Danio rerio: one gene and its partners. The protein of the gene in region 2 binds, or shares a complex with, the protein of the main gene of each other region. Links are inferred from orthologs where the notes say so. Each region holds a gene or a part of one and is shown on either strand. Other genes may lie near its edges. The genes, in order: flcn, lamtor3, lamtor4 and lamtor1.

Region 1 (3,699 bases), on a different chromosome or scaffold from region 2:
ATGGAAGCTCATTTTCAAAAACCCATAATAGGACCTCTTTAAATAAGCTGTTTGAATAAACAGCAAACATTTTTTTGAGTATAGGATCTTCAGAATTGTGTTTTAGAGAAAAGATGTATATTTAAAAATGTATTTTTAAATGAATTTATACTTTGTTTACAGATCCAAAAAATTTATTAAAACATATAGAATTGTTATTAAAAAGGTAAAAAGTTTAACCATTATATTAAAAAGTAATAAAAAAAATAATAATTAAAAACATTGATGTATAAAATAATATAATAGATGTTTTTAATGGATAAATTAGACCAGACAGAATTTAAATAGATTTTTTATACATAAAAAACATGTTAAATATAAGTAAAATGTCTATTTAATGTAAATAATGTCGATGAAAATGCAATGCTAAAATATGGGAGAAATTTTCTTACTCATGTTATCGTCTTTTAATTTAAAAACAGCTTAAAATAAAGTGTAAAACGAAGTGGTTTGATAGATTTTGGTAAAGTTTTAAGACTTAAAATGAAAATGAATGAGAATTTCAGGACTGCACTGTGATCCTTGAATATCTTATTTGATTATATTATATATCTTATACTGTGCATTGTTAAAAGATTCCTGTTCTAATTATGCCTTAAAAAAACTCATTTACATTTTAGTGGATGATTTCTCTAAGTCATTATTATTTTATTTTATCATTTATATGATATGATATGGCATAATATCATATATGATATGACATGTTATGATATTATATGATATATGATGCTGATGATAATTTTATTCCAAAATGAGAAAAATAGCAATGATAAAGTAAAAGTAGCTGTGCCCAAACCTTCAGCTGGAAAGCATTATTAAAGGAGAAGCTGAAAATCTTGCTAAATCTCTTCTAATCCTTATTTGTGACCATTTCCCAGGCTTTGCTTCCAGTTGGCTGTGTGCGAGCAGTGCAGTACAGTCCTCACTATGAGGAAGCATATCGGTGCAACTTCCTTGGCCTTAGTCCAGACGTACCCATCCCAGCCCACGTCAGCTCCTCAGGTATCTTCTGTTCTTTAGAAACCTTTTTATTGAAAAAAACCCTCTGTTGTACACACATTTTCCACAAGTAGTTGAAAATACATGTTTAAAAAGCCCCAAGAGGTCTGACCCCATTAACCCATTGTATTCTCATGCCATCCCTGAGGCATTGCAGTAGTTGAGGGTCAAACTTACGCAAACATTAACACTCACTTCAGTCCCGCTCTCTTAATCTTCATCCAGCATCTCGAGGGGAACATGTTGTTTATCTAACAAGATTTCTATCAAGACAAACATACATATATGCAACAGAGGCCTCAAACTAAGTGTTTTAGGGTGTTCTTTGTCAGAGTTTGATTTAAATCCCATTTCCCAACTTGTGTGCGACTGTTTTCTATCTAAACACAGCGAATCTGCTTCATAACTCTTTGTCAGGTTCATTTGAAGTTCAACACACTGATAGAGCCTCCTGAAGGTTTAACCTCTGTCTTTCTCCGTCTCGATTTGTCTTCCAGAGTTTTCTGTGCTGGTGGATGTACTGAGCGCAGAGCGAGGTTGTGTAAACCCCGTTTCAGACGATGACATTCTGTCACTTTACCAGTTCCACATTAGCAGTGCCAACACACAACCAACAGATAAAGGTAAGCGCGTGAACATAACATCAGTTGGGTTGCTATTAGTCTTTAGATTTACACTCTAGCCAAAATGCTCGAGTTTTTCTCTTGTGTTTTAATAAAGTTTCACCTTTACACAATCTGCATTTAGATATTAGCAAAAGCACTGTACAACAAATACTAGGCTAGTTTTTGGCGTAGTCATCTTGTTAGTAAACAGTACATAGCGTTGATGTGAATGCAGAACTTGCAATGAGTGTAAGGTCTTTAACGGCATAATGTGATGTAAATCCAATCTTTGCTGATGGATTGTTAGCAAACACTTGTGCAACAATGTTATCATGTTCTCCACTGTTGTAGAGTGTTTGTTTGTGCTAGCCTTTAATCTACAGCTCTTTAAACACCTACTATGCGTGCACATGATGTCATCACTTTCTTAGACTCTCATTTGTTGCGTGTTTACATGGACAAACAGTGGCTGCGCTTTCAAAGACTTCCACGTTTACAGGTTTATGTGATTTCCAATTCAAAAACACAGTCGTCTCTTAAATGAACAGGCATGTGTATGTCAGGCAAAATGTATGTCATTTTGGTTGAAAGTATTATGATGTTAATGGCCCCTCAGAAATCTTTTTTAAAGGGATCTCTTGATATGAAGGTTTGTATGTCTTAATATAATGTAAATGATGCCTCTGTGAAGTATGTAGAAAAAACACAACATATTTAGGCTTTTTTTGTTTTTTAAATCCACAATCTGGGTGCTCCACCTCTTTCTGTAAATATATTTCTATTGTAAATGCAGCACAAATGGTGATACAAAACTATGATATGGTGCCACATTGTGCAGCTTTTGCTTCTAATGGGCTATATGTACAGCAAGTGTTTTTCAGCCACTGATAAACTTCTGGTGAAAGCTTAATGCGACTATTTTCAATTTCATAAGGTTCCTTTTACAGCATCAACATTGTAATGTAATTAAAATACATTCAGTTAAATTAACTTAAGCATTATTTAGTTGTTCATGTGTAAAACGAAATGAAAGACCACGTAAGTGCGATTGCCGTCAGTAGCATCAGGCTAGTTCAGAAACTCCACTGAAAATATTGGAGTGTAATAAACTGTCTTATTTTAAAGACGTGATGGTAGAAAATGGAATTTGATGCAGTGCTTCTTCTCTGGTCTGAAACGCACTTCATATCGTATATCTATCAGGCAGTGAGGATCACTGATCTTTAAAGAAATCACACCTTAAACGTGGTAATTTTATAATGGAAAGACAGTTCACCGGAATCGGCTGGCTGGCTGGCTGAAATGAAAAGTCTGTGTGCATATGTCTCATTTTCAATCAAAGGGATGTTAATTTTCATTACCGGTATTTTTTTTCCTCCAACATTAAAACATTAAATGCCTCAGGAAATCAAGTTTAATATACATTGAGAAAAAGCAGAGAAAAGAAATGAAAGGGAACAAAGATGCCGATGCTTGTCAACATCTGTCGCAGAAGACACTGTGTATTAGTTTATGTTAAACGCTGAACTTACTGACTCTAGTGAAACTGTCTGATCGCCAGCTCTCTCCGTGAATGAGCTAAACTTTCAATTCAGTGACAGTTTCACTTGGTCTTAAGTAAACAAGGATTTTTAGAATATTGTAAATGTCATGTTTTTACTTCTTTTACATTATATCTAGGCCAGAGGTTGCGTTAACCGAATATTTTCCGTCATTGACAGATTTTTTTCAGCTGTGACGGAAAAAATCTGAAGGTGATCCATCAATTTGACGGATTATTCTGAGGGGGATCTGTTGTAATTTGTTGCTAACTGTAATTTCCACTCCTGTCCAGCTGATGGCGATTGCCCTTGTTTTGTCACCTCTTGTCAGCACTGCAGAGTTGTAAAAATGTCACTAGAGCCGAGTATGAGAAACTTCTTTATATTTCCAAATAGTTGTGATAATAATAATAATAAAGGTGAAAACGAGGAAGTGATGCAGTGGACGATGAAGAACAAACAGAAAAAAATCAGTCACCGACAGCTGTTACGGGCCAACCAAGTCGCAGCAAGGA
Region 2 (4,497 bases):
TACGTGAGTAAATACAACAAAGTGGAAATTGGAGTACTTTTCCTGTTCAGTATGATGGCGTATGATGTCCTACTTGTTGCCAGTCCTATTTATAATAAATATGTCATATGTGTTATTATTACTTATGTCGTAATATAAAGCTTTTCCGTTTTAAGCACAGTTTCAGGTGTTTAACCATAAACACATCTGATTCTGGGTCAACAGAAGTGCTAAATTTTGAAGCATGATCTACAAAAATGTCGTCCCAGTAGAATGCTGGACATCACCAAAGTAAAAATTATAAATTCTCTTTCATTCATTTTCCTTTGGCTTAGTCCCTTTATTCATCAGAGGTTGCCGCAGCGGAATGAAACGCCAACTTATCCAGCATGTTTTACACAGCAGATGTGGTTCCAGCTGCAACCCAGTACGGGAAAACATCCTTACACATTCACAATTCACCTATAGTGCATGTCTTTGGACTGTAGGGGAAGCACCCGGAGGAAACCCACACCAACAGGGGAGAACATGCAAACTCCACACAGAAATGGCAACTGACCCAGCTGGCGCTCAAACCAGTGACCTTCTTGCTGTGAGGCGACAGTGCTAACCACAGAGCCACTGTCACCCCAGTTAAATTCTCCAAAAATTTTTATTTTTTTTTTCGTGTTGTTTGGGAGCAAAGAAAAAAGTGCACAATGTCATTAAATACACTTTATTTTTTGTAAACGAACACTTAAGACAAATTTATTAATTAGGATGACACAAAAATGAGCAGGTTACATTCATAAAATACATACAGCATCAGGAGCATCCACAACAACAGCCAGCCAACAATACATATGTACAGATGTGTTTGCATGAACTCGAGCACCAGGACCTCAGATTGGAAAGTGGCTCTCTTATCATTCAGGTGGTCTGAGATGAACAGCTGCTAAGCCACTTCCACCACCTGCCTAAGTTCTTCAATCAGAGGAACCAGCTCCTTCTCCAGACTGAAGATCAATCCTACAGAAGAAAAACAAAGAGGAAAACATATCATTCAACTGATATTAATAGTTCCAAGCCCAACATTGAATAACTGTCATTCAGTCTTTTAAAGGTCTGGTGAAATGAAAATAAACTTTATTAGATATTAGTTTCAGTCTGTTAGTTTTAAGGAAACGCGTTTAGAAGATATAAATCTGATAGAAACATCCAAAGCTTTGCAGTTTGCAATTCCTAAAAGGTTTGTTTTTTTCCATGCCACCACCTCATAGTCAGTTTGTCATCAAATCTTGACCAATCAAATGCTCTCTAGTATCTGACATGCCCCTCCTACTTCAAGATGCTTCTCATTTAATGCATTTGAGCTCAATCCCTCTCACTGGCAAAGCTAACAATAGTTTTTTTTTTTTTAAACGAATCACTATTGGCAGTTTTTTCTTTTAAAAGGGGAGAAACTACTTTATGTCCCACTCTCTTCATTTTTCAGTTGAGATCATGTCAAACATCAAATAAAAATGCACATTTCAAAGCACTTCACGGGACCCTTACATGTACTTTATTCACATCTTAGGCAGACGGATTGCAGGCATGGACTCCAGAGATTTCATTTAATGCTCAAGCATAGGTCTCAAACCCAATTCCTGGAGGGCCGCAGCTTTGCTCAAACCCTAATCAAACACAGCTGATCCAACTAATCAAGATGTTTAAGACTGGCTGTTTCTCATTATCAAGTACACAAAGTTCAGACTTGCTAAGTTCAGACTAGAAGAACGAACTCCTGAGGCCACAAGTCGGGCACTTCTTCAAATGGAACGGCAGTGTACTTTATCACGACACTTGCCTCACCGTGGAGTCATCGATTTCACTGTGCATTAGCAAAAACAATTATTCAATTATATAAAGCACGACCCTATAATTAATATATTAATATTACAAATCTACATTTTTGATTTAAGAAAATGTAAACATAAATTCATATAACTGTGAAGTAAAAGGAGTTATTAGACACGTGTATTTGATTATTAGATTTGATAAACTACAATGGTAATTATACAAGTCTATACATAAGAAATAAAGACATACACAACAAGAAATAAGGATTATGGTCGAACAATTTGGTAAACAAAGACAAACAGCGTACAACACGGTAACATAATTAAAGACCATTATAAAAGGTAACAAAATAATACTGCCAAAATAATACACCTGATAACAAATAATAGATTTTAAAGACCAAATACTGTCCACTAGATATACACAAGATGTATTAAATATCATGTTTTAACTACAATGGATTGATGAGATCCAGCGGTACATCCCAGATGGACTGGCCAAAGTAAGGCTGCTCTTGGCGGGGGAGGTGATGGCGGAGCTCCTGCTGGCAGGCTGGGAGTCGAAGTCTGCATAAGCTGAGGCACATCGTCAAAGATGCGCTATCTTTGTGAATAAACTGCTGATTCGAGTGTAAAACAACTACACTCGCCTGAAAAACTGTTAAAACTTTATTTTGTGACACATTAAAGGAGTACTTTTAAAACTGTGTGGGTTTTCTCCTCCTGGGTTTTCTCTCTTCCATTCTGGAATACTTGAGCTTCGCAAGTTCGCATAAGTCACCTCTCGATGCATCCTTGGCAAGGGTTGATGACGTTTCACGAGGACACAAGACCGCAAATACAGACAAGAACGCATATTAAGAAGCAGCCCTAGACTCTACTAGATCAGCTGTGTTTGATTAAGATTGGAGTAAAACTGTGCAGAGCTGCGGCCCTCCAGGAATTGAGTTTGAGACCCATGTGCTAAAGCAAAAATATTTCTTTATTTTATTTAAAGATTAAATCATTGTTACCTATTTAGTAACACCTTATTATGAAAGCAACATAATTACACTTAATTAAATACATTTATCCCAAATCCACAACACTTAATTAAAATTGAAGCATTTCCAATGACTTCCAGCATCCGTAAGAACCCTGGTTACTGTAATGTACACAGAACATCCATCAAACAGTGCAGGTCAGAAATGGCAGATTCATAAACATTTTATGTTTTAATACATTATTGTTAGTTAATTGGTTTTAATGATCTACACCAGTGTTTAAATTATCTGATTACCGGGGGTCTGCTTTTTTTCTGTTTTGATAATAGCCTACACATGCATGCCTCAGTGAACCAAATTCATATATTTCAATGACATCTCGTTTATTAATAAAAATTACTTTCTGTGTTTTTAATGAGTAATAAATAGACTTTTGCATACAGTAAACCTGTGATGGGCTATTTCAACAAACAACTATTAACAACATGTTTTTGGTATAAAACAGGTATTTTGCTGAACCGGGATAACTTTATTCCAGCTCCAATAAATATATGATAATAAAAGATTGCACATACAGTTTACTGTGCAACTTCCATCTAGTTTAATTTGACTTATCTATTAGGCTACATGTAGACAGAATATAGATAGAATTTACAAGAAACAGCATATTTTGAAGATTTACTGTGGGCTAGATTTGTTTTTTTCTGATTAGAAGTTATTATTAACATATAGGATAAGTTAATATTAATATTAACTTATTATTATTATTATTATTCCAGATACAGATACGTGAAAACTACTTCCCAGACCCCACACACATCTAGTTTTGATATCCTTTAGGAAGTTTAAGCATTAATTAGGAGGGTCAAACCCCCTCTTTAATTTACACCACACTAGCGGGTAAATCAAATACGGCTAAGCAGTGACAACTTCTTTAATTTTGATCTCTAAAGTAAAAATGGCTCATTGTGACAGAGAAATACTCACCCGTGTTAGCGTTACTACTTGCGATGAAACTTATCACTAAGGGTAATCGGTTGAACTGTACAATCTGCCAATGATAAACAGCATACGTTAATATAAGAAATTCTGAGTAACTAGCAGATCAAATGTGTCTTATGTCAAAGAAAGCACCTGATATGTGTTGTAGTAACAAATGATGCTCTTATTTTTGGACAAGCCCAGCTTGCTGCCCTGGTCGGTTGCCAAAGCAAAGGTGGACAAGAAGGCCGGCCGCAGCGCATATTCAGGAGCATTGTCATTAGCCACTAGAGTGGACACAAGCAACATTTCAGAGCTTTACTACATAGATATACTACACATATTATTTTAACATACATATATAGAACATAAAAAGTAGACTTTATTTTAAGTAGATGCTTGAGCTTTCCTTTCATCAAAGAATTCTAAAAGTGACATTTAACATAGCTTCCACAAAACAATGAAGTGGGGAAACTGATAATATTGATAAGATGACTTATTAATAATGATTGATTAGCAATAATAACTGATCATAACAGATTGATTTCTGAAGAACCATGTGACACTGCAGACTAGGGCTGTACAATATATCAGCATCAACATTGCAAATTGATCATTCGCAATAGTCACATGACAAATATAGGCAATGTTGAGTTTGGATTAAAATTCATTATTTGCATGTTTTTGATGCATGGAATTGTATAATGAGCTAAAAAAAAAAAAAATAATAATAA
Region 3 (4,202 bases), on a different chromosome or scaffold from region 2:
ATGAATCCTTTAATCTATAGCTTAATGGATTATTGGAGTTAAATGTTAATGCAAATCTATAATGATGTCCAGCAATACTATAATTGTGACCACTCAAGTATGAAAGGGACTAAAATATAAAAACAATTTAATCCTGTATCCAAAAAAAAGAAATCAGATGAACCATGTAACATCATAATCTAATAAGAGAAACACATGAACTTACTTTGGCTCAGGTCAAATACACCTGACATCACCAAAAGGCCCCCAAAACATTGCAAAATTTCACCTTAAGAAAGAAAGAGAGTGTGATTGTGCTAAACATCGGGTGGTTGTAAAGACGGGGTCATTTTTATGTGAGGGCACCATTTTGAGCTTGTAATAGTGGGAAAGATCAGTCCATATTATCCTCTTTACTACACGATAACAGGCTCCCGCTGGTTGTTCTGCCTTTTCACTACGAAAACCTTCTGTCCGGAGATGGTCACAGCATAGACGTAGTCTTCAAACATCACTGACATCAGACAAAAAAGGAAAGAAAAAAATATACATTAATATCAGTATTTGTTTGGAAGTTATGGATTTTCACAGCAAGTAAAAATGATTTACTGTAAAATAGTAAATGATCATATATCAATTATTTCTTATTGAATAAATTTAATTAAAACAACAAATTAAAGAGGGTTATTTTATTTTATTAGGGCTATTTTGTTCCTAAACAAAATCAAGAGGATAAAAAAAGACTTAAAATGGTTACACATGAAACCATAAAAACTAATAAAACCTTTTTTTTTTTAAACAGACCTATTTAAAAACACAACTGATAGAAATACATAACAAAATTGCTTAAACTTTAAATAGAAAAAACACAAAATGTAAAGATAAAAACTATTTCAAACTGTAAAAATATCTGGATAATACTTAAACCTAATGTTACAAATAAACACTAATACTACAGTGATATCTGAATATTACATAAACCTGATGTTACACAAGCATGTTTACTTTAATAATTCACATCACATTTTTTGAAAATTAAATGACAAAATATGAGTGAAATATTGTTCTATCATCATTCAGCATTTATCTAAAAATGAAGTGCGTTTCTTACCAGACATGCGCTTGAATGGGGGCTCTGCAGTCCCATGTAATCTGAAGCGACAAGCTGTTCGGACCATCTGCATGATCACTCCTGCTGTGTGCTCGTCATTCTCCAGCTCTCCTGCCGACTGTAGATTACAAAAAACATTCACTTACTGCTTAACTGAGACAAGTGGAGTCATTATTAATCCCCCTATGATATTTTCTTTTTTAAATATTTCCCAAATTATGTTTAATAGAGCAAGGACATTTTCACATTATTTCATATAATATTGTTTCCTCTGGAGAAAGTCTTATTTGTTTTATTTTGGCCAGAATAAAAGCAGCTTTTCATACCATTTTAACTCAATTATTATTACCCCCCCCCCCCCAAGCAATATATTTTTTTAACTTGTCTACAGAACAAATTATTGTTAATTAAATTACTAATTAAACTAAGTATCTTCCTTAACCTAATTAACCCAATTAAGCCTTTAAATTGAACTTGAAGCTGAATACTATTATCCTGAAAAATATGTAGTAAAATAGTATGTACTGTCATCATGGCGAAGATAAAAGAAATTCATTAGTTATTCAATCTATTATGTTTAGAAAAGTGTTGAAAAAAAATCTCTCTGTAAAACAGAAATTGGGGAAAAATATAAAAGATTTAAAATTAAACAGCAAGGCTAATAATTCTGACTCAACTGTAAATGATAAATTGATTATATGATTAAAACATAGAACCTATCGAATATATAGAAAGAGACAGAGAGAGAGATAACCCCTTGAGCCAGGTGTGTCCAACAGACAGACAGACAGACAGACAGACAGATAGATAGATACAGTTAAAGGCACAATTATTGGCAATAAATAAATATTTTCCTTTTTTAATTTATTTTCATGAAGGCTGTTCAAAAGGAAGAAGATTTCTCAACACATTTTTAAAAATAATAGTTGTAATATATATATTTTTTAACAGAATCTGTCTTTGCCATGATAACACTGCATAATATTTTGCTAGTTATTTTACAAGATATTAGAATTCATCTTAATGAGTAACTTAAAGGCTTAACTTGGTTAATAAGTTTAACTAGGCAAGTCATTGAATACCATTATTTTGTTCTAAGGGCCTATTAACCTATTAAAATTGTTATTTTTTTATTTAAAAACTGCTTTTATTCCAGACAAAATAAAAGAAATAAAAAATTTTCTCAAGAATAAAAATATTATAGAAAATACTGTGAAAATGTCATTGCTCAGTTCATCATAACTTGGGAATTTTTTTTTAAATAATATGTATCAGTAGAGGCGTAATAATTTTGCCTCAAAGTGTAGACAGGCAAACAGAGACAGACAGAACAATAAGACTGACAGACATTGAATTCTAATTAATTATTTCTCATTTGCCCAAATCAGGATTCTCTTTTCAACGCATTTCACCCTCATGTCAAGTTCTCCGAAAATGTAAGTTATGAATTTTAACAGCTTACCGCGAGTACTCCGTCTTCACTAATAACCAAGTACCCAAGTTGATCGGGTATTCTCTCCAAGCCTTGAGTCAAAGCAGTAGTCTGACATTCAACACACGATAATACTGTAATTAAACACTAACAGAGCTCATATGATATTAGACTGCATCATCAATCACATTATTTACAAAATCTTTGTTTTATAAGTTCTAAATGCACTAAAACAAAACATTTAATAAAAAAAACATTTAATTAAACAAATATTTTAAAGGTAAGAATTATATTTACCATTTTAGACAGTGCAGATAAATGTACACTGCTGTTTTCCTTCACACCCCGCCTCACGTGACTGACATCAAGCGTCGCGTGTTTATAACGTCATTCCAGGAGATGTTTTGCTTATTCGACATTATTTTTGTTTATATGCATTGGAAACGTACAAAATGTGATAAAAAATCTTAGTATGACTAAAACGTGGCGGATTTTTATTTAATTTGCTAGGATTTATGCGCTGTTCTCGCATTTAACAAAAAATAATCTGTATCAGGATCAGATTCGCTGTCATAATCACCGCACACAGGTCGGTCGTTAACGCGAGCAGCACAGATCTCAGATCAGCTAAATAAGGCGCTTACGCGACTACGCAAAGCGGAAGTGAAGTGGTCAGCTGATTAAAGCATATGATCCTGCTGAACGGAAAACATTTCGTCCATTCTGCGTCTTTTATTTGAGCAAAATATAAGACAAAGTCACGATGCCCGGACGAGGAAAATTAATCGCAGTTATCGGTGATGAAGACACGTGCACCGGATTTCTCCTCGGAGGGATCGGAGAGCTCAATAAAAACCGTAAACCCAATTTCTTGGTGGTGGAGAAGGAAACCAGCGTTACAGAGATAGAGGAGACCTTCAAGTAAGTGACACGATCCTAAATGTCTGAATGACTCAACATCATATATTACAATCTAATTATCAAATATGTGTCATTACAAATATATGGATGAAGACTTGCTTTTTAAAAAAATATTTATGTTTATCTATCTATCTATCTATCTATCTATCTATCTATCTATCTATCTATCTATCTATCTATCTATCTATCTATCATATCAGCCAAATATTTTAGAAAAAACATTTATATATAAATTATTTTTATGTAGTAATAATTACCTAAATTTGTCAAGAAACCCACTTAAATGTCTTTTAGTTTAACAATATTTTATATACACCAGTAAACTGTCAATCATATTTGCAAGAAACTATTAAAGACATATCAAACTATTAATATTATGAATTACAGTGCAGCCCCTATTGACAATTGTCATTTAAATATCCTTTGTCACTATTCTTCAAACTACTGATCAATTTTGAATAATTTAAATATAAGAACATGTTTGTCTGATCTCTTCTTATTCTGACGATAGATCATTTTGAGGAATGTAAACAAAAACAAATGTTCCAACGTATTTTCTGTTTTACATTTTTAATTTTTATAGCTTACGAGAATCTAAAAAGAGCCTGCTTATTGATAAATAATGTTATGATAGCTTTTTTAGAATTAAGTTATTATTCAATTGTTTCTTTGATATCAAGCATAGGCCAATGTCATCACCACAATGAAATGGTCTATATGAATAAGTACAAGTCCAAGTCAATATGTAGTTTGGTATTT
Region 4 (4,461 bases), on a different chromosome or scaffold from region 2:
GCTTGTTCGTCTGTGCGGTTGGACGGCAGATTGTCTGCATTTCGCTCTGAGCCATTAGTGGGTTTTCTTTCTTGGTTTGGGTCAGGAATCAGTGGCTTCACCTCATCTCCATCCTGCAGGACCAAAACATCAACACATCCTGTTCAAACACCCAGAAAGACCACTTTATTTTCATGTAAGCTAACAGGCTGCATTCACGCTGCAGATCTTGATGGTCAATTGCGATTTTGTGACTGTATCTGATTTTTTTGATGACCTGCTTACATCATTAATTAAAAGGGACTCGTATCCGATTGTCTGCATTTACACAGTACACAGCAAAGGCGCAATGACCAGGAAAAATAATTAAATTAAATAAAAATAGAAAAAAAGAGTGGGCGATATCCCAATATAAAAATAAATCATAAATACTCCTCATACTTTCGTACAACTGTTATAAATACTCCCAGACCTGAAAATCCACTAATACATTCAACTTTTCCATCATTGAGAAAACCCTTAATACTACATATCCCCAAACATTAACATTAGGACATGTCAGATCTGACACATTAGATCCAAATCCAACACAATTTACGACAAATCCCACAGAAACACCAGCTTTAGTTCATTAAAAAAACACACGTTGATGATCAAATATACATAAAAAAAGTAGCGTAACTGGAATAATTTTGACGCAGTTTTGACAAACACTCAGCATTGAGCTGTTCTTGAATCATAAACACACAACTGTATTAAAAATGTGTCGTAAGTAAATGTTGTTGCAGGACTACAGACGCTACATTAAGCTGCATTATTAGTGTTTTGGGTATTTGTCTGTACTGGACAGCATAACACCAACTTTTAGTGCAAACCCTACAATATTTAGACATTTTAATTTAAAACATTTTCACGTTTGGCTTCAGTTTATTATTTAAAACCAACTAAAATCATAACTGCATTAAACTGTATTAAAAGTGTGTCGTAAGTAAATGTTGTTGCAGAACTACAGACGCTACATTAAGCTGCATTATTATTGGTATTTTAAGTTATTTTTCAGCATTGGACAGCATAAAACTAACTTTTAGTGTAAATCCAACAAAATTTGCACATTTTAATTTAAAAACCTTTTCACGATTGGCTTAATTAATTTTTTTTTTTTAGCTCACTAAAATCAGAAATACTCCTCATATTTTCGTACAACTATTATAAAAACTCCCAGGCCTAAAATCCACTAATACAGTGGTTCTCAAACTGTGGTACGTGTACCACTAGCGGTACGCAGGCTTCCTTCTAATGGTACGCAGAGGAATCCTACATGTCACGTACAAGCAACATATATTTCAAAATTTATCAAAAATGGTTTGAATATGAATATGATGACATATAGCCTATTTATGAGGTCCAAGCAACATTTCCAGGTTTTGATAAATAGGACTTTACATTTAAGTACAGCAGTTTTTTTCTATTTAAGGACAGTAACCTACCATTTTTATTAAACCTTTAAAAGCACATTAATTTAAACGTTAACATTAATTTTTTTGTTTGTTTGTTTACATATAAGCAGAGTACAGTCTTAATGTTACTATTTATAATGTTTAAAGTGGCTTATAATAATAAATATCCTTAATAGTAGTAGTTATTTTACCACGTTATTAAACTGTGCAGAGCTGCAGCTGTTTTACTGGGCCTACTACGCTACTGTATTTCAATACCGGTCATTATGGTGGTACTTGGAGGAACAATCTTTTCTGAGGTGGTACTTGATGAAAAAAGTTTGAGAATTACTGCACTAATATATTTAACTATTCCATCATTGTGGAAACCCTAACACTACATTTCCCCAAACATTAGCATTAGCACATGTCAGATCTGACACATTAGATCCAAATCCAACACAAAACTCTCAATTTAAGACTATTTCCACCGAAACACCAGCTTCAGTTCATTACAAACACACGCTTATGATATAATATACATAAATAAAGTAGCGTTAGTGGATTAAGTTTGTTGTAGTTTTGACAAACACTCAGTATTGAGCTGTTCTTGAATCACAAACACACAACTGTATTAAAAGTGTGTCGTAAGTAAATGTTGTTGCAGGACTACAGACACTACATTAAGCTGCATTATTATTGGTATTTTAAGTTATTTTTCAGCATTGGACAGCATAAAACTAACTTTTAGTGTAAATCCAACAAAATTTGCACATTTTAATTTAATAAACCTTTTCACGATTGGCTTAATTTTTTTTCTTTTTCACTCAATAAAATCATAAATACTCCCCATATTTTCGTACAACTGTTATAAAAACTCCCAGGCCTAAAATGCACTAATATATTTAACTTTTCCATCATTGTGGAAACCCTAACACTACATTTCCCCAAACATTAGCATTAGCACATGTCAGATCTGACACATTAGACCCACATCCAACACAAAACTCCCAATTTAAGACTAACTCCACCGAAACACCAGCTTCAGTTCATTACAAACACACGTTAATGATCAAATATACATAAATAAAGTAGCGTTAGTGGATTAAGTTTGTTGTAGTTTTGACAAGCACTCAGTATTGAGCTGTTCTTGAATCACAAACACACAACTGTATTGAAAGTGTGTCGTTAGTAAATGTTGTTGCAGGACTACAGACGCTACATTAAGCTGCATTATTAGTGTTTTGAGTTACCGGATCCGTCGTCTCGCTGTCGCTGCTGAAACAGCACCCCATGATGGCCGCCCAGCGGGTTCAGTATCCTGAATTTGGGTTTTTTATTCGTCTCAGGAGCGTTTTTGAGGTTGTGTTTGCCTCTTGGCTGTGAAGAGATTTGCTGCAAACGCAGAAACCATCACATGACAGCACTCCCAATCGTGTCACGTGTCTTCCGTCTCCACACTGGCACGTCAGTTCCGCCCCAAAAACCCGTTAAAAACCTTCATAGATATATACATTAGATGTCGCCTGGCCTATTGTTGTCTATTGGACGGAATGCGTCAATAGCGCCGCCATCTTGCTACAGGGTAGCGCTCCTTTGAAATGAATGCAGGACCAAGGTACAGTGGAGGACTGTGGCCATCCAAAGCCAGAGATATACACATATATCTATGATCGGGAGTTTTCCTGGATGTTGTATGTAATTTTTTTTTTCTAATTACGAAAATTATAATTTTACATCACATTCCTGACAAAAAGCTTGTGTTTGTGTGTACAGAAATGTACTATCCACCCTCCCTGTTAAATTTGATCTAATCATGTCCTGAAACACAGCTCCTCTCCTGCTTTCACTTCTCATACTGACGGAGCGGGAGCGAGTTGGAGCTGCTTTGCCTTATGGTGAATGCAGTAAGTCACTGTTTTCATCAATAACGTTACCTGATTAGCACAAAAGTTCAGAACATACAAAAACAGAAAAAACTTTTTATTACCTATGGAATGTTCTGCCTTTGTGCTTTGTTTTCTGTTTTGCTCGCTAAAGTCCCGCATCTTCACGTAATAACACTGACTTGACTAGTGCGGTTGAATGACATTTGTACTGGGAGCACTGTACCAATGTGGCGGCGCTATTGACGCATGCTCAGGGTCCCTATGCGATATCTAGTGTGTGTATGTATGTATATATGGAATGTATATATGTATGTATATATATGTATGTATATATATGTATATATATGTATATATATATATGTATGAAAAACCTTTAGGAAACCTTTATGAAAAACCTTTAAGAAACATCATGCTTTTTTTTTTTTTTTTTTTTTGCAATAATAACAGTACTTTACAACAAATACAGATACAAAACTGAAAGTATGGTACAATCAATAGAAATATTACTTTTTGAAAAAGTGGAATGTAACAAATTTAGAACAAATATAATATAGGTAAATCAAAATAAAGACAACGAGAGAGAGAGAGAGAGAGAGAGAGAGAGAGAGAGAGAGAGAGAGAGAGAGAGAAATAATAATAATAATTAAGGGCACATGACAAAGATTAAACAAATTATTGCAGGATATTAAATAAAGCACATATTTTATAAGTTTTAATAGCTTTCTTATTGTGAGAGTCTGTGATGGGTTTTTTTTTAAATAAAGAGCTAGTTCTCGTTTAAAAAAAAAAAAAAAAATAGGCTTACAATGAGTATATTTGCATTTGTGTATAAAAAACTTTCCAATAAATAAAATGTGGTTTATGCAAAAAGTTGAATTAAGGAATTCTTTTCCTTTAATATAAAACCACAAAATAATATGTCTATAGCTTAAAGAAAAATCTCCACAAACCTTTTGGATAATTAGAGAGTTTACATTAGACCAAAAAGATTTAACAGAGGGACACTCCCGAAACAAGTGAGCAACAGATTCAGAAGAGGTTTCACAGAAAGAGCAAGAGATGCCAATGTCATTTTTACATTTTTGTAAAAATTGTTTAACGGGATAAAACCTGTAAATAATTTTAAAAGATATTTCTTTAATTTTATTTGTTAAAAA

The links.
Region 1: lamtor3 (region 2) and flcn share a complex: the UniProt entries of both Homo sapiens proteins name them as parts of the lysosomal folliculin complex. The link is inferred for Danio rerio from reciprocal best matches to the Homo sapiens genes LAMTOR3 and FLCN.
Region 3: lamtor3 (region 2) and lamtor4 share a complex: the UniProt entries of both Homo sapiens proteins name them as parts of the ragulator complex. The link is inferred for Danio rerio from reciprocal best matches to the Homo sapiens genes LAMTOR3 and LAMTOR4.
Region 4: lamtor3 (region 2) and lamtor1 share a complex: the UniProt entries of both Homo sapiens proteins name them as parts of the ragulator complex. The link is inferred for Danio rerio from reciprocal best matches to the Homo sapiens genes LAMTOR3 and LAMTOR1.

Annotation. Positions count from the first base shown.
Region 1 is NC_133191.1:14,166,336-14,170,034, forward strand, and holds part of flcn (folliculin), read left to right. Parts: intron 1-917; coding exon 918-1,041; intron 1,042-1,535; coding exon 1,536-1,661; intron 1,662-3,699. UniProt on the Homo sapiens protein: Multi-functional protein, involved in both the cellular response to amino acid availability and in the regulation of glycolysis.
Region 2 is NC_133188.1:12,898,433-12,902,929, forward strand, and holds the end of lamtor3 (ragulator complex protein LAMTOR3), read right to left. Parts: intron 4,051-4,497; coding exon 3,917-4,050; intron 3,834-3,916; coding exon 3,770-3,833; exon of another isoform or gene 2,756-3,769; intron 1,608-2,755; exon of another isoform or gene 1,380-1,607; intron 988-1,379; coding exon 914-987; 3' UTR 679-913; downstream 1-678. UniProt on the Homo sapiens protein: As part of the Ragulator complex it is involved in amino acid sensing and activation of mTORC1, a signaling complex promoting cell growth in response to growth factors, energy levels, and amino acids.
Region 3 is NC_133179.1:20,644,602-20,648,803, reverse strand, and holds the start of lamtor4 (ragulator complex protein LAMTOR4), read right to left. Parts: upstream 2,883-4,202; 5' UTR 2,823-2,882; coding exon 2,820-2,822; intron 2,670-2,819; coding exon of another isoform or gene 2,634-2,669; coding exon 2,553-2,633; intron 1,209-2,552; coding exon 1,091-1,208; intron 494-1,090; coding exon 396-493; 3' UTR 1-395. Other genes in the region: atp6v1f (V-type proton ATPase subunit F), read left to right, coding at 3,286-3,443. UniProt on the Homo sapiens protein: As part of the Ragulator complex it is involved in amino acid sensing and activation of mTORC1, a signaling complex promoting cell growth in response to growth factors, energy levels, and amino acids.
Region 4 is NC_133190.1:46,802,643-46,807,103, forward strand, and holds the start of lamtor1 (ragulator complex protein LAMTOR1), read right to left. Parts: upstream 2,894-4,461; 5' UTR 2,711-2,893; coding exon 2,669-2,710; intron 114-2,668; coding exon 1-113. UniProt on the Homo sapiens protein: Key component of the Ragulator complex, a multiprotein complex involved in amino acid sensing and activation of mTORC1, a signaling complex promoting cell growth in response to growth factors, energy levels, and amino acids.